7 linked regions of the Neurospora crassa OR74A genome follow. The protein of the gene in region 5 interacts with the protein of the main gene of each other region in a biochemical or structural test. Links are inferred from orthologs where the notes say so. Each region holds a gene or a part of one and is shown on either strand. Other genes may lie near its edges.

Region 1 (3,973 bases), on a different chromosome or scaffold from region 5:
ACAGAAACTATGTTCATGAGCCACAATGCGACATGAGCAGTATCTTCAGCACTGTTAGACTAGGATATCTTTTCCATTACTCAACCCCTTTCGTCTTATTTGATGCCCAGTTCATGTCTATTTTCCATCAAAGCAGCAAAAGTCAACGCCAATGCGTCCATTGTATGTTCTCAATGTGTTTCGCCGAGGTCGGTCCAGAATGAAAGTTTCGCCGCAGATGAAGCTCCAAACCCTGTGTTGCCTTTTGTTGAAGGACCTGATCCCTCAGCTCCGTGCCTTGTGATCAGAGTTGATGGTGACATTATTAAGCCATGCGTATCCTCAGTCCACGTCCATCGAATCCTATTCGGGAGGTGGAGGCGGTGGCGGGCGTTGTTCGTTCAGCCTGACAGCAGCAAAACGCTTAGCAAGTGGTTCATCCGTCGAGTTGTGATTCCTTTGCATCAATGGGTGGTGGCTGAGGTAGGATCTGTCAACCGAGGGAAAACTAGCATCCTCAGTTCTGGGGCGCTTGGGAAGTCTCTCACCAGTGGATTCCAAGATCATGTGCAGGGTCCTCCACCCCTCTGTCGCCCGGAGTTGGAAGGCGTCGGCAAGGTCATGTTGTGTTGCTACGCGGCAAAGGAGTGCCTCCTCATCCTACGAGAAAGAGTCAGTATTCTGTCGGACCCAAGTGGAAATACGGTGAGCTGACCTTGGACAGCACGCTCATCTGCCGGATAAAGCAGAGCAAGTGGAAGTTGCTAACGTCGAATTGGTCGGACTTTTGGTTCACCTTAAGAATCTTTGCTACTGATGAGGCTTCCTGGGCTTCTCCGACAAATTCGCGATTGGCGATAGGGAAGCCGTCATTCGTGAATACCGGCCGGGGACTTTCAGGGAAACCATGGGTCAAGGTGACGAAGAGATACTCGACGGGAAATGCGGGCTTTGCATTCTCTTGGACATTTGCTCCGTACTCGTTGATCTTGCGATAGAACACCTCGGGGATGTATCGCGTCCTGCTGACTGAGCCATCGTCCTCCTCCTCTTCGCGCACCAACATTTGACCGGGGTCCGTGGAAGGTTCGATGATGTCTGCCCTGACCATCTCGACCGCATCGTTCGACATCTGATAGGCCGAGATCGAAATCTCGCCCTGCTCATTGCCAGAGATGACGCAAGTGACAAAGTTGGAGCCGAACCGGCCTGTATCGCTCCACTTGGTAGGCTTTGGGTGCTGTGCCTGGAGCCTCGCCGCAAAGCAGATCTCCTGAGCCGCGAGGAAGTAGGAATCGCTGTGTCTCTTGCAGATGGCACTTCCGTCACCCTTGCCAGCGTCCAGGAGATCCGTCCAGATCACACCCACAGGCTCCAGTCCGCATAGTCTTGCTACTTCGTTGACATCCTTCTCGTTTTCCCACGCGTTGAGAGTAACACCGTCGATCTCGTCAACCTGCGGTGGTTCGTAGATGGCTTCCACGACAGCCTTGACGCCAAGCGGAACAACATCGTATTCGAGATATTTGCCGTAGAGGATACCAAGCCGTTGACATCCCGTCATACGCCAGGGATTGAGGAACTTGTCGATGATCTGGGGCGTCGCGAACTCGACGTGGTCCACCATTCTGAATGGCTGGGGCTGGAGAGTGATGGCGCTGGGCTGGCATTTTGTGCAGATACCTTCGGGCCATTGAGGATGGCCGGATGGACAGTCCCGCTTGACTCTGTAATAGGGTTCGACAAGCGGGGGGATAAACGAAGCCCCAAGCTCGGGCTTGTTTGTCGCAGAGTTGATTTTGCGGAGGTATGCGTGTACTGACATGTACTTGATTTTCTTTTCCTCGAGATACTTTGCGTTAAACGGATCAAGGGGCATGCAGTAATCGCACATACCCTTGGGCCCGTGGCGACACATCTTATGATCGCGCCCCCTTGGGATCTTTCCGTCACGCTTGTCTAGCCGATCGTCCAGAGGCGACTGCCTCACCGTTTCCCACGGGTTCTTGATATGTTCATGCGGAGATGTCAGCGGAGGCGGGTCGATGGGCAAGTCTTCTGCAGGTAGGATCGGTTTGCCGTTGAGGCGGTTCGTGGATGAAAGCACGCTGGATTTGGTGGCTTCGCCGTTGCCTGGGCCGTCGGTCGCCGCATCGTTGTGCTTGTAGGTGACAAAAATAAGATCGCCATGGCTATTTTCAGGTCGCTAGTTAGTGTCTGGCACATAAATCGCAAGATCAGCGCGAGAGTTCCAAGGGGTCAGCTTGCCTGAGCCCAGTCTGGCCGACCTTGAACTTTGCGACCTCGCTGAGATTCTTGGCGTCGCTGCCGGTCGGATGGTTCGAGAATGTAATTGTTTTCGGGTCAACAGTCGGGGGAAGCTTGGGAATGAGTTGACGGCCAAGATCCGCAAAGGTGTCATCTTTCTCCAATGTCAGGCGGAGCATGCCATCGGGACCGCGTACCCTCAACAACATCGTGGGCGGGCTGAAAAAAAGGTGACGTCTGGGCTGTTAAAGGGTCCGACGGATCTGGTCTGTTCCTGTCGTTCGGCGAGTATAATCCGGAATCTGAATTTAAAATGTGTCGTAGGCGTCGGAAGTAGGGCGGTATCTATGAATAAAGCTTCTTGTTGCGCAAAATCTACAAGGTCACGCCAGGTCCTCGGACTCGGGGTAAAGGCACAACTGGTGACGGGATACGGGTGGTGAATTGTTGGTCGGCAGACGGGACCTGATCGAAGGGCGGGGAGCTCCACGCAACGCTGTACGATAGTTTCAGGCGTTCGTCATACGTGTGCCTGGGCGGCGGGAGTGCTGGGGCGTGCTGGGAAGTGCTGAGCAATCGAGGCATGCCTGCTGGGTTTCCAGAAGAGCCAAGAAACTCCCGGTCCCACGTCAGAGAGAGAGCCCAATGCCGGCCCGGCAATGCCCCGCACCCCTCAAAGACTTGGGAGTGACAGAAAGGGGCTGTCGCGGCAGGCATCGATTTCCACTTGCGGCATGGGCCCCTGCCACTCAGATGAAGCCAGCGCGCGCCAAGGGCCGAAATTCCATTGTCAAGCTCCCCCTGCCGCGCTGCACCGTTGCAGTTGTCAAGGTGTTCTTTCCAGGCATGGGCACTGCATTTGATAACCAAGGGAAGCACGATTACATTGCCGTCGGTGTCCATCACTCACACAACCGCAAAAGGCAAACGCATCCATCACCGGGCAACCTTCAGTTGCACGACGACAATCCTCACGCCACCTACCGCCTCTTGGTTCACTCTAGTCGCTCGCTTTCTTCCAGAGTAGAGAATACAGACATCATTTCTCGTCCGTCAATTTGACACACACTCCATCCCGAAACATGTTCAGCGTCGACTGGCGGGGGCTTGTGCTCCCCTTCGCCTATCTGATTGTCCTGACGGGCACCTTCATGACCTTTTCCACAATCTACCGCAAGAGGAAAGCCCGTATGCAACCCCCTACTCAGAAATTTCTATGCTTCTCTGGATAGAAGCCTAACCATGTTGATTCTTCCAGAGCAAAGCGCAAACCTCGCACCATGGTTCGGTCCTCACCTCCAACGCAACGTCTACCTGTCACTCCTCCACATGGAGCCCGAGAACGGATCCGAAAAGGCACCTAAAGTTCCTGAAAGTGTGCTCCGGGCGGCTCTGCTGCGCCGCGCTGTCGAAGACATCCACCGTATTATCCAGATCCGCGCCGCCAAGGCCGCCTGCAGCTCTCTTTTGCAGCGTGGAAGCATCGGCGATGATCTGTGGCAAAGGTTCCAGCGTGCCGAGAAGGAAATGGAGGAAGAGCTTCGTGATGTTGTTATGGAGGTGTGTGTTCCTTTGAAGAGGGTTACCCGTGCGGATGATTGGATGCCAGAAATGCTAATGCCCGATTCTTCAGGCCAACGCACTCGCTCCCAACTGGGGACAGAGCATCTTCCAAACCGCCAACGAGATTGCTGCCAACACTGTGCTGCGCGAGCGCCTTGACGAG
Region 2 (4,242 bases), on a different chromosome or scaffold from region 5:
AAAGGCTGGGTAAGCAACGACAACTCCTGCATCGACTTGGTAAGAGCCGCCGGCGGAGGGGGGGCCGGCGCGTCAACCAGAGCTGGCGCAGCAGGGGCTGGAGCGGCAGCGGGTGCCGCCGCAGGAGCGGGAGCAACGGCTTGCGCAGCCGGCTCAGGGGTTTTCGTCTTGGTAGGCTTGACATCCCAAGCATCATCATCAAAGCCACTGGAAGGCTTCGAGGCAGACGGTGTTGGCGTAGCCGCAGCCGTAGGAGATGATGACTTGCCACTACCAGCACCCGAGTCCTTAGAGAAAGCGTTGGGATCAACGGTGTTGCTGACCTCGACGGGGGGCGCCGGCCTGCCCTTCTTCGTGTTGTTGCGGAGCGCACCTCCTGGCCCAGAGAAGAGTCCTCCCTCGCCCTCTTCGCCTTTCTTGTTCCGCATGTACTTGTTGTCCAGGTACCGCATGACCTTGATAATATCACCTTCACGCAAGCCCAAGTTCCTCAGCACAGTAGCATCAACATCTGGCAAGACACTTTCGTCGATAGCCTCCCGCAGGAAAGCTTGAGAATACCGTTCGCACAAACCAACCTGTATGTCACAACCAAGGAAGAAGTTAAACCAGTCGTAGTCGGGCTTCTTCGAGGAATCGATGGTGGCGCCAACCCGGGAGCTGGAACCACGGTCTCTTTCCCTGTCGCGCGTCGATCGACTAGACCTCGAAGACTCACCGGCGGATCGCTTGTTCCTAAGATCGGATAGGGGCTTGTCTTCGTCGAGAGATTCGCCAGTTACGCGCTCCACGTACTCGAGATCCTCAACTGACATCTTCGAGACGGGCACGGCGATCTGCACACCGTTCATCTTGTGGAGCCTGATCTTGCCATCCTTGACACCGAGGAACTGGGCCTCAACGCTGAAGGACTTGGATCGATCGGTCCATGTTCGCACTTTGGAAGGATCGGGCTCTGCGACAAACTGTCAGTATTCTGCATACTCTGAAAGAAAATCTGGACATGGGTGTACTTACTCGACTTGCTTGACGACTTGGAGCTGCTGTTCTGACCGGGTTCGCGCCTACTGCTTCGCTGTTTTCCTCTCCTGTTATCATCTGTGGCCGGCAAACTACTATTTCGTTCTTGCAATTGCAATCCTGGGCCTACCTCAGAGTTCCTCTTCTGCTTCTCCTTCTCTTCCTCGCGCTGGGCAGCCTTGATAGCCTCCTTGGTTAAGCGCGCCTCTTCCAGGCGGTTCTTCTCGACTTCCGACATGCCCACGGCAATACCGGTAACGGCCGTCTCCGGCTCTTCCCACACGCCGTTGATCTCAATGTAGCTGCTGGGAACCACACCCTCCTTGCCGTTCTTGACGCGACGCACCATCCACCACTCGTCACTCTTGGTATCGTCGAGAATAACTACCTCATCACCAACGCCGACAGTAACCTCGTCCTCACCCTGAGCCATAAAATCATACAGCACAGCACCCTTCTTCTTCTTGCCTCCGGCTCCCGCGGCAATGATCTCCTTGAGTCCCTCGAGGCGCACAGTTCCGGCCATGTCGCCCAGCATCGCGACGATCTCTTCAGCGGTGTCCTTGGCGCCCGCATGAAAGTCAACGCTCTTGCTTGGTCGTACGAGCTCCATAAACACGTGCTTGCCCTCCCGAGAGTAGTGTGTCATGCAATCGGCCCGCCATTCCTGCGATGGACCGTCGTGGGAATGTTCCGGCGCTATGAGAATCATTCCCGTCCTCAGGTTGATGCCCAGCGTGGTAGGCATCTTCTTCTTCTTGCCCATCACCGACGTCATCTCGTTGATGTTGTACATGTGGAAACCGCCAGGGGTAAGCGCGGCGGTCTGAGGAGGAGGAGCCTGGGAGGTTCGCGGGCTAATGCCATAGTCGTCGGTGTCGTGGGCTGCTGACTGAGCGGGCGGCGGCACCGGTCTGTAGGATTTTTGCTCCGGAGCAATTTGCGAATCGCCCCGCGGGCGGCTCGGAAGCGGCGGGGACCTTACCTCATTTTCGTAATCTTCCGAAGCGTATGACTGTCGCTGGGGCTGGGGAACACTGATAGGCGCTGGAGGTTGGAAAGAAGAGCGGTTGGCCATAACTCCGGCGATGGCGGCGGCAGCAGGGTTGGAAGCGGCGACAGGGGTGCTTGGCTCGGAGGGCACACTCCTGGCGGGCAGGGGCGGGCTGGCTACATCGACGCTGACGCTGGGTGTCCTCTGCGGAAGAGGAGGAGGGGGGGCAGTCGCTTCTTCCTCCTCCTCGACCTGGCCAGCCTGGCCATCGCCCAACTCGATGTAGTTGGCGGGCGCGAAGCCGTAGTCGCCATCGTGGCCAACAAGGATCCAATCGGGGTCGGAAGTGTCGAAGACTGAGAGCTGCGCATCCTCGGGGAAGGAGAGCTCTTCGTCGGTCTGACGCGTGTACTCGTAGAGCGCGCGAGCGTATGATACGGGTTTCGCCTGGCGTCATGGTGTGCGCGGTCAGTTCAAGTGATCCATCTGAATGCCAAGGCCAGCCAGCTTGCTATCCTCCAAGCAGGTACAAGTGCCCAGATGACACTGCACGCAATCCAGATCTAGACCTCGGACCACATTACATACCTCCTCAATGTAGTTGTTGGGGATCAAGCCGACGGGCTCGTCATCGTCGGCAGCATTGGCCTTCTTCTTCGCCTTCCACCAATCGTCCTCCTGACTCTTTTCCAACACATAGAGAATGTCGCCCTCGGAGATTGTCAACTCGCCCTCGCCCTGGGGCGTGTAATCGTAAATGGCCCTATAGACGCCGAGGAAGCCCATGGCTGCTGCGGGAAATCTGCTCGTATGATGCCCTTTGGATGGCAGCCGACATGAACCGACGCAAGGGAGTTGCTGTTGCGAAGAAAGGAATTGGGGAAAACGAAAGGCGCCGTGGTGCGAATGGTGGCTGGTGGTGTGGTATCACAAGTCTTGGTTCTGCCGGGGAAGGGGGGGTGTGTGTGTGTCCGGTAGGAAATGGAATCAAGGAGCGAGCGGCGGCGGCGGCGGCGGCAGCAGCGTGTGAGAGCGGGTGACGCTGGGTTGGTGACGGGTGACGGGGGTGCGGCGCTGCGGCTGCCGGGCAGAAGGTGAACGAGGATGGAAGCTCTTCTAGAGTGTACGGGTGCTCCTGAAGCAAGGGGTAGCCGCTGAAGCAAGCACTGTAGGTATGCCCGCTTGCGCGTAGGATTGCGGCCGGCCAAGGCCCTCCTGTATGGTACCTACGGATAGGTAGCCTGTAATTTCGAGCGAGGGAACGTCGGGAAGATGTCGACGACAGCGAGCACGCGCGGCTGCGGTGACCCTGCGAGGAATTTGACCTTTATCGTGATCAAGAGTCTGGAGTTGCGGTCGAAATGGTCGAGCCAAGGGAGACGTTGGAAATTACTCTATGTCCAAGTCGTGGACCCAAGTGCTCGTTTAAAGGAGCCGGTCCGGGGGGTGTGTGTTCGGGGGGGTGGGGGGGTTCGCTGAATTTGGGGGAATTTAGACGATGCAACGAAGCGGTCGCGAAGACACCGCGATCTTCATGGATGCTATCACCAAAATGTATATTTATGTAATTGCAATGTCCACGGAAAATCCATTCGAGATCAAATCAAGCGTAGGTAGGAAGTGCACTATTGACCCGAGGACAAATGAACACCTTGTTCGTACCTTACAATTTGAAACCCCAAGAACAGGTACGTAACCTCCCAGCGCTGGAGGTGTATGTACCTAGCTTTTATTTGGAATAACCGCAGCGCATTTCGAGGGTTCAGGTCAACCCCAATGACCGACCAACAACATCGAAGCAAGGTACTGGCGCAGGAACGAAGGATTCTTGTCCAAATTGAACCCGAAAGAGTGAGATCGTGCAGGAGCAAGCACAGCCCAGCCGCATCTCGAGCGCTGCTGGTACGGCATAGCACCTGAATAAGTACCTCGAAAGCGCAACTTTCACTTTGTTACACAGTATCTATTGATTGGCCGTAATTGTGGCTTAATTGTGACAGTCAACTTGGGCTCTTCTTCACGCCCAACTTTCCCATCAATCAATCAAGAAACAGCAGCCAGCTGGTCCCGACCGGCAAACCCGGGCATTCATCAGCGATCTACTGTAACCGCACGTGTAGATAGCGTCATATCCCGGGTTTTCCCTCTTGACATTTGGGCGCTTGGTGGATCGTTCATTTCAGGTCGGGGTCCGCTGGGCATGGGAGCCGTTCAGCGGGTGTCGATGT
Region 3 (4,169 bases), on a different chromosome or scaffold from region 5:
GATAAGGACATCCAGGAAGAGGTCAAGAAGGCGCTCGAGAACACATCCCACCTCATTACGCAAAAGCACGGCATCGACGAACAGGCCCAGCACGAGTACGTTGAAAAGATTGTCAGGCGCATCAGCAACCCTCACCTGGAGGATGCCGTCGAGCGCGTGGGCCGTGCTCCCCTACGGAAGCTGTCCCGCAAGGAGCGGTTCATCGGCCCCGCAGCCGAGCTTGCCGAACACGGTAAGGACTGCAGCGCTCTGCTCGATGCTGCTGAGATGGCGTTCCGCTTCCAGAACGTCGAGGGCGACGAGGAGTCGGCCGAACTTGCTAAGATCATGGCGAGCAACAAGCCCGAGGACGTTGTCAAGCAGGTCTGCGGCTTGAACGAGCAGGAGAAGCTGTTCCCCAAGGTGGTCGAGGTTGTACAGCGCGTACAGGCCGACTTGCACGACGACTAGATGGAGCATTTCTGTCAACTTGTGTGTTTTGTATCCATTCTTACTTCATGTCTTATGATAAATGAGCGAAGACTTTACGGATAGGGAATAGGGCAACGGTGTCGTGGACCCTCGGAATCCGGAGAATATGGCGTTCATTTGGTTGCTTTCTGGGATATCAACGCGGAGCATTATACAACTGGGATCAATGGCGTTTAGCCGGGATCATATTGACATCCTGGAGGTTTTGGGTTTCCCTTTTTTCTTCTTCATTATTGTCTCTGCGCAATCACTAGAAGCGCTTTGCAATGATAGATATAGTTCAAGTCAATAAGAAGTACTCACACTCAATTCTTCTCCATGTTCCAGTAACGTTGTCGTATGCAAAGTGCGTCGAACTTGATCACTGCTTCGAGCTTTTTCTTTGAGCCCATATTTGGTGATTGCTGATAATGTTTTTAAGTAACGATGAAAATGGATGGGAGTACCGACTTGACGACTGACCGTCATCGGTCGCGCCTCCTGTTGCGTCGCTGAGACCTTTTGGTTTTGAAATACTCGTATCTTGCAAATTTGCTCGTGTGTGACACTCCTCCAAAATGTGATTGGGAATTGAGTCGTTCACAAAGTGACCGTTGCGTTGGTCCAAGCCTTTTGGTTTTTGACGATCTCCAGTGGTCGACTTTGGACGTGGTTTGGCGATGGTGATGGCTTCAAACACTGAATGCACCGACGGTGAGGGGGGCGCCAAGAGATCCGCAAAGCTGTAGTGTTGGTCGTTGCCTTAGGCAGCAGCTGGCGAGCGCAGGAAGTGACAGTGGCCGGCAGCTGTGCCCACTTGACCGCCTGAGGGAGAGAGTGGCCCGAGCGGCGAGCAGACCACAGCCGCGAAATTGTGGGCGGCGGCCGGTCGAGATACGTGGCGGGCACCTCTACAACCGTCCGCTGTCATTTCCGGCCCGTCGCAATCAAGTGTCAAGGCCTCCGAAGCCTCTATTCCGAATCCTCGTACCGCCAACCACGTCCCCCCCCCTTCGGCGGACCAGATATCCAATACACCAAATACATATAACCACGATTGCACCACTTCCGATAGCTTCACCCCTGACGAACCCGACGGCGGCTTTCTTGCACGGTCAGGGACCATCTCCAGCATCCAGCACGCACCCCACCTGAAGCTTGGAAGCTCGAGAACCGTTACGACCGCCCCGTCCTCTAATTCCAACTTGTAAACACCACACACCACACACCACACACCCACCCCAAACTCGCCCAACATGAGGCTGGATGTCAAGGCAAGTTCGCACAGGCTTCGTGTCTGCACCACCATGGCCGTGTCACCGAGACCCAACAGAACAACCCGATTCTGCAACCTGGCGCACACTTGCACCTCCCTTAGCTTCGGCCTGGGATCTTCCAGTTGCCCCTATTCCGTCTGCTGTACCGGCACCTCGACGGCCAGCTCCATTGCGCCGACACGTCCATCATCACATCGCTGCCTCCAACTGGGCCATCTCTCATTAGAAAACACCTGCTAACATGCCTGTCAACATGCAGCGCCAGTTGTTTGCCCGCTCTGAGGTTCGTTACCTGTCCTCTTGACCCCCTGATTTCTCCGGTACCAAGCAGTCTTTCAACATTCAAGGTTCCCATTGCTCACCCATATCCCGCACATAGCGAGTCAAGGGCATCGACTTCCATCCTACCGAGCCATGGATTCTGAGTACGTCTGATTCGACTCGCGATACGATGGGAGGGGCCCTGAATTCTGACACTACTTTGGTGATTAGCGACCCTCTACAGCGGCCACGTCTATATCTGGTCATACGAGACACAACAAATCGTCAAGACCTTCGAGCTTACCGATGTCCCCGTCCGCGCTGGTCGCTTCATTGCGCGAAAGAACTGGATCATCTGTGGTTCCGATGACTTGTATGTTCGACATGGAACTTGGGCTAGAGCTAGACAGGAAGGCTGACCTGGAATCCCAGCCAAATTCGAGTCTACAACTACAACACGAGCGAAAAGATCACATCCTTCGAGGCGCATCCCGACTACATCAGAGCCATTTGCGTCCATCCTACACAACCCTTCGTCCTTACCGCCAGTGATGACATGACGATCAAGCTTTGGGATTGGGAGAAGGGATGGAAGAACGTGCGGGTATTCGAGGGCAACTCACGTATGGCGCCACCAGCCTGATACATCGAAGCAGAGCGCGCGTGCTAACAGAGCTTCAGACTACGTCATGTCCCTCGCCATCAACCCCAAAGATACCAACACCTTTGCTTCGGCATGTTTGGACAGGACAGTCAAGATCTGGAGCTTGGGTTCATCCACACCAAACTTCCAGCTTGAGGCGCACGAGACCAAGGGCGTCAACCACGTCGATTACTATCCCCACAGCGACAAACCCTATCTTCTCACAACTTCTGATGACGTGAGTTATATTGACATCTGCTGGCGCATAGGACTTCACAGCTGACTTTACTGGCACAGCGCACGGTGAAAGTGTGGGACTATACCACCAAGAGTTTGATCGCCACTCTTGAAGGCCACACCAACAACGTATCCTTTGCCTGCTACCACCCAGAGCTCCCTATTATTATCTCTGGTTCGGAAGACGTACGTCGATATTGCACCTGTCCACTCGCTCGCAGGCTATTACTAACCGTAACCGCAGGGCACGATAAGGATATGGAACGCCAACACCTACAGGTTCGAGCAATCGCTAAACTACGGCCTGGAGCGAGCATGGTGTGTGTCATATCAGAAGGGCAAGCAGGGTATTGCTGTTGGTTTCGATGATGGTTCGGTGGTCATCAAGCTTGGTCGGGAAGAGCCCGCTGTGTCGATGGATGGCTCCGGCAAGATCGTGTGGGCCAGGCACAATGAGGTTGTATCTGCCGTGATCAAGGGTGCTGGTGAGTTACAAAACGGAACATCGAGAGTGACTCCGAGCTAACAGGGATCAGATGCCGATATCAAGGACAACGAACCTATCACACTCACCACCAAGGAGCTTGGAACCGCCGAGGTGTACCCCCAAAGTCTCATCCACTCTCCCAATGGTCGGTTCGCTGCTATTTGCGGCGACGGCGAATACATCGTTTACACTGCGCTCGCCTGGAGAAACAAGGCATTCGGTCAAGCCCTCGACTTTGTGTGGGCTTCCAAGGAGTATTCCAGCACAAACGAGTTCGCCATTCGTGAGTCTCCCACCAGCGTCAAGATCTTCAAGAACTTCGAGAACAAGGTCGGCGGTCTCGACGTCCCATTTGCTGCCGACGGTCTTACCGGCGGTGTCCTCCTCGGTGTCAAGGGCCAAGGTGGCATTTCCTTCTACGACTGGCGGACGGGTGGACTTGTCAGACGCATTGAGGTGGAGCCAAAGCAGGTGTACTGGAGCGAGAGCGGCGAGCTGGTTGCTCTTGCCTGCGAAGATAGCACCTACGTCCTCAGGTTCTCGAGAGAGAACTATAACGAAGCGGTCCAGGCTGGTCTTGTCGAGGATGATGGTGTTGAGGCTGCGTTTGATGTCGTTACCGACATCAGCGAGAGTATCCGTTCGGCGGAGTGGTTGGGAGATGTCCTGATCTACACCAACAGCACCAACCGTCTAAACTACTTGGTTGGCGACCAGACTTACACCATCGCCCACTTCGACAAGCCCATGTACATCTTGGGTTACCTCCAGCGTGATGGCCGCGTCTACATCACCGATAAGGACCTTAATGTTA
Region 4 (4,015 bases), on a different chromosome or scaffold from region 5:
TTGGGCTGAGGCGGGTGACTTCGGGGAGAGGAGTAATTCGCGGTTGGACTGCAGATGAAGACATGGTGATACTGCGGTTATGCTTGTGATCTGTTTTCAGATGTTGATATGGGATCTTGGAAAGGCGAGATAGCCGAGTATTAAATGATGATGAAGTTCGATACAATGATGGCCTGGTTGAGAGTCCCAGGAGCGGGATGACAGGTGAGGACATCCAGGACCAGGAGTAGTACGGGCAAAAAATGAACGACACACAGGAAGTAGTGACAATTCCGAATGAGAACCTTACTTGGTGTGAAACACGGTGGGATATTGCGTCCTGGTGAGGTGGGAGTACCGCGTATAGAGAGAGAGAGAGCTAGTTAACAGACTGCGGGGTACTGCCGAGCCGAGGCGTCGGCAATGATACCATCGCACATAATCAATGTCCGGCTACCACCCACGCAAGCTCCGAAGATCACCTGGCGAATCGGCCATATGAGCCGGACTCGGGGTGGATGGTTTGCTGGCCGGGCTCGCCAAGTTCAAGTCCGTTGTGAGAACGTGTTGCAAGTGGTGGCCTAAAGAATCCCTTTTCTGTTGATACCACATCTCCCAGGAACGCAACCTTTTTGATGGTGTTTGCGTGCTTGTCCGAATCGCTTCAATTTCTTGACATACTTAGCTATAACTGATGAGTTTAGAGACTGTATCAACGGCTTGTTGTCTGCGTGGATTTTGTCATGACAGGGGCATTTGACACACAGCTACATCATCGGTCACAATGAATCGATACAGACGATAGAGGATACCTCTAGATGTGCTGCCAACCCTTTGGACCATGAAGCACGGAAGAGAGCCGAATCAGCCTCCAGAAAGTTCTGATTTTCTGAAGTCTAGCTTCTCAAATGACGATGGCTCGCGCTGGAGGTTGCCTTGTCGTTGGGAGAATTGATTGTGAAGTGAAATGCAGGCCTGGCAGACACCTCGGTTGAGATGTACAGAGATCCTCAGACTCCGTCTCAGGTACCTCGCTGCACGCTCTGTATGAGTGCTACGGGCCAATCAGACACAACGAAGAGTTACATACCTAGGTACTTATATGCGTTGAAAAGGTTCCACCCTTTGGTTCTGTCCCCTTTCTCGTTATCGATAAGCCTTGCGTAGGTAGCGTTCGATAAGCCGTTCATGTCGCTGCCGTCCATGCAAGTGCAGTTGGCGTCCATTGATTGATTGCCCATGTTGACGCCGCGGAAATCGGATGGAGATTCCAACCCCGAACAACTTCAAACCCATCTTGCTTCGGGAGAACCAACACAACCAGAGAAGATCCCTGTTGCTACTTTACCGGCTTTGTACACGTTGCTTTGATAGACGGTAAGACGGAAATCACCAGCAAATGTTGCCAATAGAAAAAGCGCGACCGTTAATTGACGTGCATCGCTGCTAACAAGTCCTCTTATTCCAGGTACTTGGACCGAACCGCCGGGAACTGTGCTCTTTCCCGAGCGGAACGCGATTTGCCGGCCTCGCCACGACCCTTACAAGCCATCTCAACTGGTGAAAAGCCAGGCTCAATAAAGCCAATTCTGCAGCTAGATTCACCCATTGTTTCGATTCTTACGAGCCGAAAGTCCAGGAACATCATCCCCAGCGTCTGAAGCAACACTCGTCCTCGTTGCTAACCCGGTCACGGACCGCTCCAACCACTGCGGATTCGAACACAGCTCCTCCCCTTCAGAACTACTAGCACACACGGGCTTCACATTTGGGGCTTTCGACGAGCGAACAATCACATCACCATGTCGGCCAACGCTGCGTCCTCCAAGGACCACAAGGTCAAGGAGCCCCAGCCCGGCCAGCCAATGTATGGATGTGGTAAGATGGCCCATTCTTGTCCCTGCTACACGGCCTTATTTTCTAACCTCTTCTAGAGCATGTCGGCCGTCTCTTTAACCAAGATCAAGCGACGATCAACATGTCCATACAACATTACAAGACCATTCTGCGAGCCATCTTCGACATCAACCCTATCCTGTCACACACGGCCAAGGGCGTAGATGGCCAGGTTGTAACATCCATTACCCCAACCTACCTCTGTCTGCAATGCCCCTCGACTCTCACCGACGATGACCTTACAAAACACGGCAACAAAAAATCACATCGCTTCTGTACGTTCGCTGCCTCTGCCAGAAGGAGCCAAATCATGGGGCAAGGAAACTGACAGTTGTAATCAGATGTTGAGTCGAGGAGCGGAGCGGTGTATTGCCAAATGTGTGATGATATTGTGTGGGACCCTACCTTTGAGGATTTGAGGTTAAAGAAGCTCGGCACAGGGTCGTTTTTCGGTAGTATGTTTTTCTGTCCTTTTCTCCGTCTTACCCATGGGGGCTTATGCCCGGTACCTTCTCCTATGTCGATGAGCCTTGGCTGTTACTAATCTGTATTTCTATCACAGGCCGAAAGCGTAAACATGAGGAACTCTTCGCCCCTGATCCCGTAAAAGACGCTCCCCAGTATATATCGACCAACACCACCCTCGCCACCTGCAAGGCTAACGGTCTCCGTGGTATCTATAATGCCGGAGCAACTTGCTATCAAAACGTTGTCCTCCAATCATTCCTCCACAATCCCATACTACGCAACTTCTACCTGAGTGATGGGCATCAGTCAGGCAGTTGCGACACACCCCATTGCCTCAGTTGTGCCATGGACGATATGTTCCAGGAATTTTATGCCAGCGAAACGACGAACGGTTATACCGCCGCAAATATCTTGTCCGGATTCTGGATCAGCGAGAACAAGGCGTTTGAGAACTTGGTAGCCAACAAGGAGCAAGATGCTCATGAGTTTTTCCAGTTCATGGCTGAGGAATTACACGAGAGAAATGGCGACGGCAAGAGACCGGAAATTGGCAGTGAGCATACCTGCAACTGCATCATCCACCAAACATACTACGGAAAGTTACAGACGTCCACAACGTGCCAAAACTGTGGGGGCGTCACCAATCAAGCCCAGAGCTTTTTGGATCTCAGTGTTCCCTTGGAAAATTTGACGCAAAAAAGGGGCAAGAAGAACTTGACGAATGGCGACGGGGTCGCATCGACAAGAACGCAAAACAGCGTGACTCTCCAGGAATGCTTGGACGAAGAATACATCAAATCCGATAAGTGCGAGTATCGGTGTCAGAACTGCAATTCAGTACAGCAAGCAAGAAGACAGACCAGTATCAAGAAATTACCCAACGTTCTTTCTATCCAGCTCAAGGTCAGATTACCGGAATCCTTCCTCATGCACATTCCTTACTGGCCGTTACCGCTGGCTTCGCTTGGAGACAACAGAAGCTGACAGTTGCCAACAGAGGTTCGAGTTCAAACAAGGGCGTAATGATCGTGCCCAGAAGATCGAGACACCTGTCCAGTTTCCTTTACAACTCAACATGCTGCCTTATACGACACGCGCACGAACACAGGATCTCAAAGATAACTACGAGCTACAGCGGTCCTGCACTTACGATCTTCTATGCGTTGTTGTGCACGTTGGCGACATGGATACCGGACACTACATTTCTTATTGCCGGGTTGGCGACCAGGTGAGTCTGACTAGTGAACCATGACACACATCTAGTTCCTGAAGGGTTAGACTTGCTGACCCGCTGCCTTTGGCACATTTATTTAAGTGGTTCGCATTTAACGATCACAAAGTTGAACTGGCCCAGAAGTCTGATGTGCTAAACGCAAAGGCCTATCTTCTCTTTTACATTGTTCGGTCCCTGTCTTGAGCTCGGATAAACGGTGTACGAGTAGGGGCAAGTAAGCAGCAAATATTTTTTTCCTGTGTATGATGTTGTTTCCAGTAAACACGTGCCAGATGGCTCATTTACGTTTTGTACACTACTTGATCTTTTTGCGGCGTTCAAGGAAGCATATTTTGCCGGCGTATTTTGGATTTGCCTTTGTTCATGGAGCGTACATGGAGAGGATTCACATAGACATAACTCAGGCCAAAGCATGGGCCTGGATTTTTAGAGAATGGA
Region 5 (4,132 bases):
GTTGTCATGGAACCGACTATGGGAAGGGCCACAGAGCAAACGAGTTCTCGAGTCTTGTAGAGTTGCCTTGGGTTGTGTGTACTTGTTTCATTTCAAAGACGCAAGTCATTACCACGCAAAGAAAGCCGTTGGCTCGTTGGTTCTGGATGAGTGGAAAAATGCATTCCAACTCTTACGATAGAGCCTAGGCCAGACGAGTACATAAGTACTCAAGATCAATGAGTGAGAAGGATTGCGAACGGCAACCAGGCACCTGCATTGAACTTGGTTCACTACACGCATTGACAATAAAAAGTATCATGTACACCAATCTGATGACGTTCAGGGTTGTCATTTGATCATGGGATGTCACAACCCGAGCCGAATGGGTGTATTGAACGGACCGTAAGGACGATTCCCGCATTTGCGAAGACGGGAGTTGTAGGCGTGACTGCGCGGGAGTCCCCGGGATCCCGTGCAGGAGGTGATGCCGGCCCCGGTCTCACCCGAGGTGGTTGGCAGGCCTAGTAGCGGGCAGGGCGGAACTCGTCACTTGGCTCCAGGAGTTTGTGATGTTGTGCTGCACAGCTTACCTCCCTCTACTGTACATATTACACTCGTGCGTAAAGGACCCAGCATTCTGATCGATGATGGTAACTCGCGATACTATGGATCATGCGTGAACGGAGGCTAGAGACCGTCAATAGCGGAGCGACCCTCCTAAAGTGCGGGGCGGTGGAGCCAAGAAAGAGGCCACGATAATGCTGGGCGATAACGGGAGGAACGGAGTCACGACATCATCGGTCGGGGGCTGGTGGGAACCCTTATGGCCAGGCACTGCAGTCAGGAGGTCTCCCATCTGTCACCGGTCTTGAATCCTTACCGGCGTCAACAGCCACGGTCGGTCGGAAAGCCGATAGAAAAGCGAAAGAGAATACCTGGTAATAGCTCCCCGTTCCCGTCCGGTTCAGTTGTCGGTGTCCCGCCATGAACACGGAGAACTAACGAAGCTCATCGTCGCACCAGACGGAGCGCTTACCTCAGCAGCCTTTGCAAAGGTCGGTGGAAGAACCAACCGTGAGTCCGTGACACCAGCTGAGCATTCTGTGGTTTACAGTGCCAGCTGACTCGCCCCTTTACTGTCTGGAGCTGAAACGATGCCTGGCCGGGATGCACCTCCCGTCCGGTTGTTCTTTCGTTCGACGACCAACACCTCGACCCCTTTGGTGACACTCTTTGTGGTGTTGGTTAAAGACAAAGTCACAGGTCTCTTTGATTTTATATACTCATCTTCATGTCTTCTGGTCATTTCCTCCATTGCTGGAAAATTGCGATCCAACCGTTCACTCTTCCCTGTTTGCCTCTCGGTGCCCTCGATCGGACCACGTCATTGACCGCTCACTTCGTTGGGGGGTTCGCTTATCAAATGCGGGGAACCAGCAAGGTGCACGTCGGTATTCCATGATGCCAGCTGGACTGCTGCTGTGTGAAGCATCGAGCAAGAGGCCATCAACAACCTGATAGAGGGAACAATTATAATAACATGGAGAGAAGCTTGTCAAGATGCTGGCAAAGTAACGAGAAGTCGAGATGGCACTCTCGGATTTGTAAACAACTGAAACTCGAAGGTCCGTCGTCCAGCCACATGCAGATCATTCTTTGGCTTATTCATCCAGAGAGAACCTAACTGAAGCAGGGCAAACAGCCCGGCTGAGGTGACTGACGCATTGACGGGCAAACGGCTGGGTGAGTGCCCGCCACTGCAGAAGGCGTTGACAGTGCGATCAATCAGCCGCGGTCACTGTTGGGGGGGATGTCCAACCACTCCTGCCAACGGGCAACAGCCAACAGTCAAGGGGGAAACTGTCGTCTGACTGGCTTCTTCTCGCGCCTTCCCTCCACTTCTCTGTCACTCCCAACCGCCAAGTGGCTTGTGCGTGGCCTGTCAGTGAAGGTGAGTGACACACCACTCACACCGTGGCAGGCGTTGCAAACGGACCAGTGACGATCGACTTGGGACCTGGCACCTTTCCGCTTCCACTCCAGTCCCGTCACCTCTTCCCCTTCACTCAGCCCCCCCGCTTCGCTTCCCTTTCCAGGCAGTGGAAGCCTGGCCCCTCCAAGTTCGCCATCCTGATTCCTGCCACTTCCGCCGCAGCCAGCACCTGAACCTACTTATTTAATCCTCCCCGCCCATCTGCATCCCCGATTCCATTTCTTCCGCTTTCACCATCTCTCTCCATCGCCATCATCGCAGGAGTGTTCATCCACGCACATATCATTCCCGCCACTCGATTCTAGTCATTTCGCTTCATCCATCAACAGTCCATTCGTCCACTGCACAACCCCCATCATGCAGATTTTCGTCAAGACTTGTAAGTTATCGCACGCTCACCGCATCATCACTTTACCATCGATCGACCGATGCTAACTATCTCTTCGCAGTGACCGGCAAGACCATCACCCTCGAGGTCGAGTCGTCGGATACCATTGACAATGTCAAGCAAAAGATTCAGGACAAGGAGGGCATTCCCCCCGACCAGCAGCGCTTGATTTTTGCCGGCAAGCAGTTGGAGGATGGCCGCACCCTTTCCGACTACAACATCCAGAAGGAGTCTACCCTCCACCTTGTCCTCCGCCTGCGCGGTGGTATGCAAATCTTCGTCAAGACTCTTACCGGCAAGACCATCACCCTTGAGGTGGAATCGTCCGACACTATCGACAACGTCAAGCAAAAGATCCAAGACAAGGAGGGCATTCCTCCCGATCAGCAGCGTCTCATTTTCGCCGGCAAGCAGCTTGAAGACGGCCGCACTTTGAGCGACTACAACATTCAGAAGGAGTCTACCCTTCATCTCGTTCTTCGTCTACGCGGTGGTATGCAGATTTTCGTTAAGACGCTTACCGGCAAGACGATTACTCTCGAGGTTGAGTCTTCCGACACCATCGACAACGTAAAGCAAAAGATCCAGGACAAGGAGGGTATCCCACCTGATCAGCAGCGTCTCATTTTCGCTGGAAAGCAGCTCGAGGATGGTCGCACCCTCTCCGACTACAACATTCAGAAGGAGAGCACCCTGCACTTGGTGCTCCGTCTTCGTGGTGGTATGCAGATTTTCGTCAAGACCTTGACGGGCAAGACGATTACGCTGGAAGTCGAGTCTTCGGATACGATTGATAACGTGAAGCAAAAGATCCAGGACAAGGAGGGTATCCCGCCTGACCAGCAGCGTCTGATCTTTGCTGGTAAGCAGTTGGAGGATGGCCGGACCCTCTCTGATTACAACATTCAGAAGGAGAGCACTCTTCACTTGGTGCTGCGCCTCCGTGGCGGCCAGTAAGCGGATTGTCGTCTTTGTTTCTGATTCTTGATGACGAGCAAGGGTTCATTTGGGCGTTCAGCGTTTATTGGGTTACTTATTGCATCCATGGGTTGGGAAATGATGACAACCATGAAACAGGGCATATCTAGCCGAATCTAATGGCACACGCTTCATACATACAGCGATGCCATAATAAAGACTATATTTACGGTCTCAAACATGATGTCTCTTGGTGATTTGCTTGTGTCTCAATTCGTGAGCTTTTGTTATTCCCGTCAACCTGTCATCTGGTCAATTGGGGATGGAGTCGGACGTGTAAGTCAAGATGGTGGTGCAGTGGGTTGGTACACACCGTGCGAGGTGACCGTTGCGTGGCCGAAAGTGGCGCCCTTTTTTGGTGGACAAGATGCATCATACGTGAAAGATACGTACCGACCGCCGAGTTCAGTTCGCGCTAGTCCGGCCGTGGAGCCCTCCCTCCCCCCCTGTGAAGGACGATCCAACGTCCAACGTCCAACGTCAAGTTCGTAGTTGTGGAAGGTTGAATGTGAAGAGGACATCCGGAAGGACCTCTCATCCTCTCTAATCACCAGGGCAAGAACCATCACTGCATGGAGTTTGGGCACACATGAACCTGCAGAGATAGGCATCGGCGACTTGATTGACGTAAGGCCCGCGTCCAAGGTGTCTTAATCGACTCTTCATCTTCTTGATCCTTCTCTGTCCTTCTCTTGCTCTTCCACTCTTACAGTCAACGCAATACTCTCAATATTACACTTTCATCAGATTTTTCATCAAAGCATTGTTGTTTCTCGACCATCACAACAAGG
Region 6 (4,228 bases), on a different chromosome or scaffold from region 5:
TCGCCTTCCTGGGGCAGACACTGGGGTCATATATTTCTGCTGCTGTGCCTCAGTGTCTGAGCCGTCCCGAACGGAAGTAACAGTGTCTGTTGGTTTTGGAAACATACCATAATGGTCTGAAGGAGAAGAACGGGTATGCATAGGTTTTGTATGTTGGCGTTTGGGATGGATCGGGAAAGCACTTGGAGGTTGTCTTATTGCAACGTCGGGCCTTGGTCTAAAGCTTAGATAGCCTATAGACCAAAGAATATAGGAGACGAATCAAACCTCTGTGTTGGAATTTGGCACGCTTGAAAGAGCTAATAGCAACTGAAAGAACGGCTACATGGTCTAGGTCTGTTTCCCATGGTGTTTTGGACAAGACGGCTTTCAAAGTATCTAGAATGCTTTGACTTTGTTGGCTCCCCGTAATCTTCTTACCTATTCATGTAGATGAGTTGAACAATGACAGCTGCATTCCGCATTTACGGCGAAGGAAAGTCACTGTCACATCCAGCGTTATACTAGTGATTCTAGGGTCCTTCCATGAAAAACGCCAACGAAGAATTAGTTATCATCTTCTTGTCATTCAGCCCGTTTCTGCTTCATTAGGTTGCGAGGTTACCTCTACATAGAAGTACCCCTTATGGTAGACTACATATGTAGTACAATGGTGCTGGTTTGTTTGTTAGCTTGGTACCTAGAGGTACTCCTGGTACACTGGACGAGATCTCCCGTCTTCCGAATTGTCCCAAACCGTACAAGGACTGAATGAAAGGCATGAACAAGATCCAATTCGTTCTCTTTCATTTTGGAGAAATGGAAGCATATTCCCAGTCTGAAAACGCATAGTCTAAGAGGTAGCTATAGGGACGGGAAGTTGATCCAAAGACCCGCGGGAGCTAACAATCGAACCAGTATTGCCTACAGTGCAGTAAATCATGTCCCGCCAAAAGCACTAAATGTAAGTAACGTCCCGAAATACCCCGCCAACCTGTGAACTCCAGGAGCTCCATGCAGTAGGCTTGTTCGGGGCAGGCAGGCTCCACGTCACATTCACAGATGTCAACGTAATCTTGTCAGCGCAAAAGGTGCATGGGAATTGCTACTTCCTCCTGATCACTATCCGAGGGCTTTCCGCTAGAGTATGCTAGAGTCATTCCTTATTACTACCTAACTTTGGCACCCGCACTATCACATACTACTGTGGTTAGCTCAAGAGCGAAGTACCAACCTTGAGCACCCGCAGCCGAAGACAACCTCCAGCTTCGGACAGTCACCTCCATCCTCCTTCTCCTCATCCTTCGCCTCAACCTCCCAACGCACATCCAGCTTTACGTCGTCACCGCCAGCTTGAGCCCTTCTTCTCCTTAGGCTCTCTCCGTCACGATAATCACAATATCCGTACATCCTTAATCCCTTTCCTCTTCGCCCAACGACGACGACAAGATGGATCCGAATCAGCAACAGCCGGCGGCCACGCCGGATGCGCCTGATAAAGAGACGATGGAGCAGATCCGTGCCCGACGACTGGCTAAGCTCGGTGGCCCCAATGTCGCTTCTACTACATCGCCAGCTGCGTCCTCTTCCACGCCTCAGCCTGGCACCGAAACCCCTCCCGCTGCTGCTGCTGTGGCGGCGGCGGCGGCGGCGGCGAGTTCGTCAAAGATCGAAGACAAGGCACCGCGAGTTCAGCCAAGGTCGATAATCAAGCCGGCGTCACGAGATGTGCCAGAGCCACCACCAGGTAGTTCCGCTTCCCGAAAGAGAGAAAGATCCCTTTCAAATATTGATGATATTCCATGCCCACCAGCACCGCGAAAGCAATACAGGGAACAGACGCTCGAGGAATGGACCGACAAGCTACTCACCAGCATCCTTCGCGTGTCTCTCGATCCGAACCAGACCTTCGATAGCAGTGGCCATAACTTGACCTTTCTGCCAGAACTCAGCCAGGAAATTCGGGGCGAGTATCAGGAGCCCTTGCTGTCGATCGACCGATTTCAAGAGGCCGTTATGGAGGCCGGAAGGATCTATCCGCCGCACAAGCCCCTATTCGAATACTTCCTGGCATGCTGGAAGCGGGTCACCAGATATAGGATATTGAGGGCGTCGACTCCTGAGAAGGAAGAAGCCCTCAAGGAGGCCAAGCGCTTGTGCTTCTCGAACTGCATCTTCGCCGTTACTATGCCCGAGATGTTTGGGTATTTATCCCCCGTGTCCTCTTTACAGTTTGCTCTAGCTGACATGATCCAAATTTGAAAAGTCGAGAACCAAACCCAAAGCACGATACCATAGTCCCCTACATTTTGGAAGGTGTTGCGAAGGAAGAAGGCCTCGACATCGAGTTTTACAACGAGGCCATGACACGGATCGAGGACGACGATAGCATTGTACCTCTCTTCACCAAGGCCATGGTGGAAATCAGCACAGCGCTGTCTACCAAAAACATGAACGGCGATTATCAGCCGCACGTCCAGGTGAGTTTGACAAGCGACTTGAACGAATTGTGCTGAGCGTTGACGTTGGAACCTCACAGGCCCTCTTCACATACTCGAGATATCCGGCTCTCGTGAACGCTTTGGCGGAACACCCTACTTTCCTTATGGCGCAATCAGCCCCCAACATTGAACGGTTCACGCTGCTCGGGCCATTCTTCCGCCTGTCGCCCTTACACCCAGAGGCGGCCAGTTACGACTTTGCCGCACCAAGGACTCTTGACAAGGGCCGAATTGGCACAACCCAACAATCGTTACAAATGACGTTGGCTGCCCATCAGGAACACTTGACGACGATAGCTAATGCCTTCATACGAGCAAGCACTAGCTCGAGAAACAAGCTCCTGGACTGGTTCGCCTACATCATGAATGTCAACCATAAGCGCACAGCCACTTATGTCGACCCCAAGACCGTTTCGTCGGACGGCTTCATGGTCAATGTCACTGTCGTCCTCGACAATCTATGCAAGCCTTTCATGGATAACTCCTTTACCAAGATTGACCGTATTCAGGTCGACTACTTCAGGCGGAAGCCCAGATTGGACATCAAGGAAGAGACCAAGCTCAACGCTGACCAAGAGCACTCGGACGCGTTTTACTCTACAAAACTCGAAGGGGAGAACAACTTTATAACAGAGGTCTTCTTCCTCGCTTTGGCGGCACATCAGTATGGCACCGAAGCCACCCAAAACAAGCTAAAGGAACTTGACAAGCAAATTAAGCATTTCCAAAAGAACTTGACCCTTATGGAGGCTGACCGTCCCAACATTGTCGCCAATCATCCGGAACGAGTACCTATGCTAGAGGCGGCGCAGAGGAGACTGATCAAGATGCTGGAGAGCGCCATGTCGGCCAAATTTGCCATCGAAGGCATTATGACCGACAAGACGCTGCAAACGCGGTCACTACAGTTCATGAAGTACACGATTGTGTGGCTACTGCGAGTAGCCAGTCAGTCCGACTACGTCCCATGGAAGAAAATCAGCCTTCCGCTGCCTGAAACTCAGCCAGAAGCTTTCAGGTGTCTTCCCGAGTATGTTCTGCAGGTAATTGTTGATAACTTGAAGTTCACCTTCCGCCATAGGCCAGAGGTCATGGTCTCGGCCATTGGTGACGAGGTCGTTGCTCTATGCATAACGTTTCTGGAATCCTCCGAGTACATCAAGAACCCGTACTTGAAATCGTCGCTGGTTACCCTCCTTTATCAGGGCACCTGGCCGGCATACCATCTTAAAAAGGGCATTCTTGGCGACATCCTTACCGGCACCAAGTTCGCGAATGACTACCTGCTACATGCTGTGATGAAGTACTATATTGAGTGCGAGTCGAATGGTACCAGTTCCGCGTTCTACGAAAAGTTCAACATACGTTTTGAGATCTTCCAGGTTATCAAGTGCGTCTGGACCAATGACCATTACAAGAAGCAGTTGACAGAGTCCAGCAGGTCAGTATATGTTTTGTCCTACGATCTCTTTGCTGAATCCGACTAACTCGACCTAGGGTGGACCGCGACTTCTTCGTTCGTTTTGTCAATCTTCTCATGAACGATGCAACATACGTTCTGGATGAAGCATTGAGCAACTTCCCCAAGATCCATGACTTCCAGCAAAAGCTAAAGGACCCCAGTCTTTCGCAAGAGGATCGCGAAAAGATGGAGAGCGATTTACACGACGCGGAAAACAAGGCCAGTTCCTATATGCAGCTTGCGAACGAGACAGTCGGCATGATGAAGCTCTTCACCCAAACCCTGG
Region 7 (3,394 bases), on a different chromosome or scaffold from region 5:
CGGCTGAGGCGGCGGGGTTGATGTTGATGGTTCCGCCAGCTTTGGAAGAGAGGTCTTGCCCTTCGATTTCCGAGTCGGCGAGGAAGTGGACGGATTTTTTGTCCTTCGCAGAGCCACCACCGGCTGTCGTTGGTTGAGCACCGTCGTCGTCTTCCAAATCGCCAAACATGTCTACCTCGTCATCTTCATCGGCATCTTTCCCTGCCCCGTTGGAAGGCTTGTTGTAATTATCCATCATCTCGGCCAGATCCACGTCCTCGGCGTCTTTGCCCTTCTTGCGGCTCTTCCCTCGGGCTTCCGCGCGGTCTTCCAGGTTGTCATTGTCGGAATCGGAATCGTACCCATCGATGTTGACCGCGCCGCGCTTGGTGGCTCGGGAAAGCCCACCGATCACGTCGGCGGCAAGAACCTCCTCGTCAGCTTCGTCGAGGTCGTCATCGTGCGCTGAGGGCGCGAGCGCGGAGGGGTTGCGCACGTCGAACTTGACTTTTTTGTGGGACGGCCCGCTGGAGGTGTCGTCGTCGTCGTTGGAGCGCGATTCGCCGTGGTGGGCGCGGGCGTAAGCTTCGCTGGCGCGTTTGGGGCGCGCGGCGGAGAAGCGGGAGGACATGGTGGTGGCTGTTGTCTTCAATCTCGTGTGTTGGTGTGTAGGCGTTGACGTCAGCGTGTAAAGGTTATGTCGTCTTGATAGAATGGCCTATTCTGCCCCTGTATCGCAGACTTTGTGTAGATATGGCCTGAAATGATGACTGTTTTGCCTGGGTCGACGGCGAATGACAACTCTACAAGTAGAGGATGGTGTTTAAGAGAGGATCTAGATGGCGAATTGGGAATATCAAGGAAGAACATCACTAGAGGTACCTTACCCGTTGTCAGCCCCAACGGATAACATGGAGCTCTCCACTGCCATCAAGGTCCAGAGCGTTCTGCAGTGGACAGGCAGCGCTCAAGGTACCTTTGACCTAAGCGTTTAAGAAGGGGGGGAGCTCGCGCCACGGCAGCACGGTTTCACAGATCTGACGCCACGGCGGCACCTTCTCACCCCGCCAATCCGGGCCGCCGAGGCGGCAGATACATAGAGGTAGGTACTGTACGGTACCCATGCCAGGGCTCCAATTATTACCTAACGTGCCTGTAACTTTCGGGCCCAGTTATGTCATCTGCGTTGTTGCCTTTGGAACCTTCCACGCGGTCAGGTTATTTCAACATCGTCGCAACCTCCCTTTCACTATCGCTTGTCACGCTCTGCTGTTCCGGATCCCACTACCTATTCTGCGAAGCTTACCTCGAGATCTCCCCTCTTAATACAAATTCCCTGTCGTTTCCCTTTCTGCAAAATACTTTACTCCATCTCTAGCAGCTCCCTCGCGATCATGGTAAGCTATCCTTGTCCTCACGCTCGATTATCAAGACAGCTTTTCGACCCCTCTATCTCTTGAAACATTCTAACATGTGCCCATGACAGTATGGAGACATCTACAGTCGCGCCACTGGTCGCTCTCGGGGCGCGCAACGCTTCGATGAGTACTACCGCTGCTACCCCCTTGTCATGGCGCCCGGTGCCGAACGACCTGAACTCAACTACGGCTCCAAGATTCTGCTCCCGCCCTCCGCTCTCGACAAGGTTTCGCGACTACACGTCCAATGGCCCATCATGCTAGAGCTTATCAACGGCTCGCAGGGCACCCACACACACGCCGGTGTTCTGGAGTTCGTGGCTGAGGAGGGCAGGGCCTACATCCCGCAGTGGATGATGCAGACCCTCAAGCTCGACGTGGGCGACATGATTCAGATCAAGACGACATCTCTCGAGCTTGCCAGGCTTGTCAAGCTCCAACCGCAATCGGTCAACTTCCTCGACATCAGCGACCCTCGTGCCGTCCTCGAAAAGGCCTTCCGGAACTTTGCGGCGCTGACCAAGGGCGACGTTTTCAACTTTGAGTACAACGATGAGATCTACGAAATGGCGGTACTGGACGTCAAGCCGGAGACGGCCAAGATGGGTGTCTGCATGATCGAGACAGACGTCAGCGTCGATTTTGCGCCGCCAGTTGGCTACGTCGAGCCTTCGCGACAGACACAAGGCAGTGGTACCAGCACACCACGCAACGGAAGGGCTGTTGGCGGAGGACTTCCGGCGGGTGGTCTTTTGCACAACCAGGGAACCATGGCGCAGGCTATCAACTACGATGCCATCGCACCAGGAGCCACCACCACGTCGGTGGGCAACTTTCAAGGTGAGGGTCTGCGGTTGGCGGCGAAGAAGGGTAGCAAGACGGGAACACCGAAGCCGGCGACGCCGGTGGCGGGTACGTCGACCAACGTTAAGGACGTGGTGCTGCCCAGGAGGAAAAACAACAACGGCCCGTTGCCGTTGCGTCTGCCGCCCAACAAGCTCTTCTTGGGCTACGAGATCAAGCCTGTCAAAACTGCCGCAGATAAGGAGAGGGAGGCGGCGGCGGCGAAGCAGCCGCACTTTGCGGGCCAGGGACAGACGCTCCGGGGAGGAGTCCCGAAGAAGAAGAGCAGCGATGGTGACGACAAGGCGGCGCAAGGCGAGAAGAAGCCGACAGAGAGCAAGGGAAGGCGACTTGACGGCAGGAATGTCTAGGGACAAACTTTCGTTCAACAAGCTTGTTACTAGATGGTTTGATGCATTGTCGGGCGTTAATGGGAAACAGGGTCATGGGAAAGGGAGGTTCACAGTCAAGGGATCACGGAACGTTTGTAGCGTCATTACGAATACACATGGACAGGCCACGATGCGTTTCAAGATAGAAAAGGGCTGTATATGGGATGTTGAGTGCTGAACCGCACGATGTTTACATAGGCCCATGCAGCTGACTAGAATTAGTGAAAAAGGAAATGATACCTCGATGTCCTCCTATAGCTGGAACATGCCAAGGTGATGTTCAACAAGGTCCGCTGGCTCAATGGCAGAGCGTCTGACTACGAATCAGGAGGTTCCAGGTTCGACCCCTGGGTGGATCGAGTTATCTTTTCTTTTGCCAGCATAGTATGCTGCGGCGTCACCAATTTATTTAAAAAAAAAAAAAAAAATTTTAAATTTTTTTTTTCTTTTTGTTCTCTTTTTGATCCCTTGAAATGCCGGAATTTGACTTTGGTGCAAGATGGACATGATACAAAGAGTCCCTGGTTTTTTTTCTTTTTTTTCCTCATTGTGGACGGTGCATCGAGAGCGGCTTGGTCCGTCTTGTCTTTATCTTGAGCAGTCGCTTTGTCAGTGTCATGCCAGGAAGGTCCGGAGTTCTGCCTGCATCCACTTCGAGGTCTCTCCTTCCAGAATTTTGCATCCTTAAAGATTAGTCATATGTCAACGATGCTTGGAACGAATATAGTCGACAACATCAACAGCATGACATTGAGTTCTGAT

What was found.
Region 1: the proteins of ubi (region 5) and NCU02680 form a complex in vitro, tested with the Saccharomyces cerevisiae proteins (5 studies listed by BioGRID, with this or other methods). The link is inferred for Neurospora crassa OR74A from reciprocal best matches to the Saccharomyces cerevisiae genes UBI4 and NPL4.
Region 2: the proteins of ubi (region 5) and NCU02978 form a complex in vitro, tested with the Saccharomyces cerevisiae proteins (3 studies listed by BioGRID, with this or other methods). The link is inferred for Neurospora crassa OR74A from reciprocal best matches to the Saccharomyces cerevisiae genes UBI4 and SLA1.
Region 3: the proteins of ubi (region 5) and NCU07319 form a complex in vitro, tested with the Saccharomyces cerevisiae proteins (2 studies listed by BioGRID). The link is inferred for Neurospora crassa OR74A from reciprocal best matches to the Saccharomyces cerevisiae genes UBI4 and SEC27.
Region 4: of the proteins of ubi (region 5) and NCU02375, one has a biochemical effect on the other in vitro, tested with the Saccharomyces cerevisiae proteins (3 studies listed by BioGRID, with this or other methods). The link is inferred for Neurospora crassa OR74A from reciprocal best matches to the Saccharomyces cerevisiae genes UBI4 and UBP8.
Region 6: the proteins of ubi (region 5) and NCU03357 form a complex in vitro, tested with the Saccharomyces cerevisiae proteins (3 studies listed by BioGRID, with this or other methods). The link is inferred for Neurospora crassa OR74A from reciprocal best matches to the Saccharomyces cerevisiae genes UBI4 and UFD2.
Region 7: the proteins of ubi (region 5) and NCU06856 form a complex in vitro, tested with the Saccharomyces cerevisiae proteins (3 studies listed by BioGRID). The link is inferred for Neurospora crassa OR74A from reciprocal best matches to the Saccharomyces cerevisiae genes UBI4 and UFD1.

What each region holds. Positions count from the first base shown.
Region 1 is NC_026501.1:3,179,548-3,183,520, forward strand, and holds the start of NCU02680 (nuclear protein localization protein 4), read right to left. Parts: upstream 2,801-3,973; 5' UTR 2,457-2,800; coding exon 2,248-2,456; intron 2,172-2,247; coding exon 695-2,171; intron 640-694; coding exon 528-639; intron 458-527; coding exon 444-457; 3' UTR 386-443; coding exon of another isoform or gene 381-385; 3' UTR 1-380. Other genes in the region: NCU02681 (translocation protein), read left to right, coding at 3,330-3,435, 3,506-3,807, 3,881-3,973. UniProt on the Saccharomyces cerevisiae protein: Substrate-recruiting cofactor of the CDC48-NPL4-UFD1 segregase. Assists CDC48 in the dislocation of misfolded, polyubiquitinated ERAD substrates that are subsequently delivered to the proteasome for degradation.
Region 2 is NC_026501.1:8,519,939-8,524,180, reverse strand, and holds the start of NCU02978 (cytoskeleton assembly control protein SLA1p), read right to left. Parts: upstream 2,801-4,242; coding exon 2,603-2,800; intron 2,462-2,602; coding exon 1,018-2,461; intron 956-1,017; coding exon 1-955. UniProt on the Saccharomyces cerevisiae protein: Component of the PAN1 actin cytoskeleton-regulatory complex required for the internalization of endosomes during actin-coupled endocytosis. The complex links the site of endocytosis to the cell membrane-associated actin cytoskeleton.
Region 3 is NC_026504.1:4,379,350-4,383,518, reverse strand, and holds the start of NCU07319 (coatomer beta' subunit), read left to right. Parts: upstream 1-1,369; 5' UTR 1,370-1,706; coding exon 1,707-1,724; intron 1,725-1,986; coding exon 1,987-2,010; intron 2,011-2,106; coding exon 2,107-2,152; intron 2,153-2,219; coding exon 2,220-2,361; intron 2,362-2,420; coding exon 2,421-2,611; intron 2,612-2,669; coding exon 2,670-2,869; intron 2,870-2,928; coding exon 2,929-3,054; intron 3,055-3,112; coding exon 3,113-3,353; intron 3,354-3,404; coding exon 3,405-4,169. Other genes in the region: NCU07318 (mannitol-1-phosphate 5-dehydrogenase), read left to right, coding at 1-450. UniProt on the Saccharomyces cerevisiae protein: The coatomer is a cytosolic protein complex that binds to dilysine motifs and reversibly associates with Golgi non-clathrin-coated vesicles, which further mediate biosynthetic protein transport from the ER, via the Golgi up to the trans Golgi network.
Region 4 is NC_026507.1:2,712,481-2,716,495, forward strand, and holds the start of NCU02375 (ubiquitin carboxyl-terminal hydrolase 2), read left to right. Parts: upstream 1-1,215; 5' UTR 1,216-1,356; intron 1,357-1,447; 5' UTR 1,448-1,781; coding exon 1,782-1,857; intron 1,858-1,913; coding exon 1,914-2,150; intron 2,151-2,216; coding exon 2,217-2,330; intron 2,331-2,437; coding exon 2,438-3,246; intron 3,247-3,340; coding exon 3,341-3,571; intron 3,572-3,658; coding exon 3,659-3,760; 3' UTR 3,761-4,015. Other genes in the region: NCU02376 (metallo-beta-lactamase domain-containing protein), read right to left, coding at 1-214. UniProt on the Saccharomyces cerevisiae protein: Histone deubiquitinating enzyme component of the transcription coactivator SAGA complex. SAGA acts as a general cofactor required for essentially all RNA polymerase II transcription.
Region 5 is NC_026506.1:3,143,712-3,147,843, forward strand, and holds ubi (ubiquitin), read left to right. Parts: upstream 1-1,332; 5' UTR 1,333-1,607; intron 1,608-1,675; 5' UTR 1,676-2,332; coding exon 2,333-2,354; intron 2,355-2,424; coding exon 2,425-3,320; 3' UTR 3,321-3,872; downstream 3,873-4,132. UniProt on the Saccharomyces cerevisiae protein: Ubiquitin exists either covalently attached to another protein, or free (unanchored).
Region 6 is NC_026502.1:987,965-992,192, reverse strand, and holds the start of NCU03357 (ubiquitin conjugation factor E4), read left to right. Parts: upstream 1-1,428; coding exon 1,429-2,183; intron 2,184-2,245; coding exon 2,246-2,459; intron 2,460-2,518; coding exon 2,519-3,921; intron 3,922-3,977; coding exon 3,978-4,228. UniProt on the Saccharomyces cerevisiae protein: E4 ubiquitin chain-elongation enzyme specifically involved in polyubiquitin chain assembly.
Region 7 is NC_026502.1:1,742,314-1,745,707, reverse strand, and holds NCU06856 (ubiquitin fusion degradation protein), read left to right. Parts: upstream 1-1,155; 5' UTR 1,156-1,373; coding exon 1,374-1,376; intron 1,377-1,465; coding exon 1,466-2,611; 3' UTR 2,612-2,894; downstream 2,895-3,394. Other genes in the region: NCU06855 (hypothetical protein), read right to left, coding at 1-610. UniProt on the Saccharomyces cerevisiae protein: Functions at a post-ubiquitation step in the ubiquitin fusion degradation (UFD) pathway. Has a role in the endoplasmic reticulum-associated degradation (ERAD) pathway.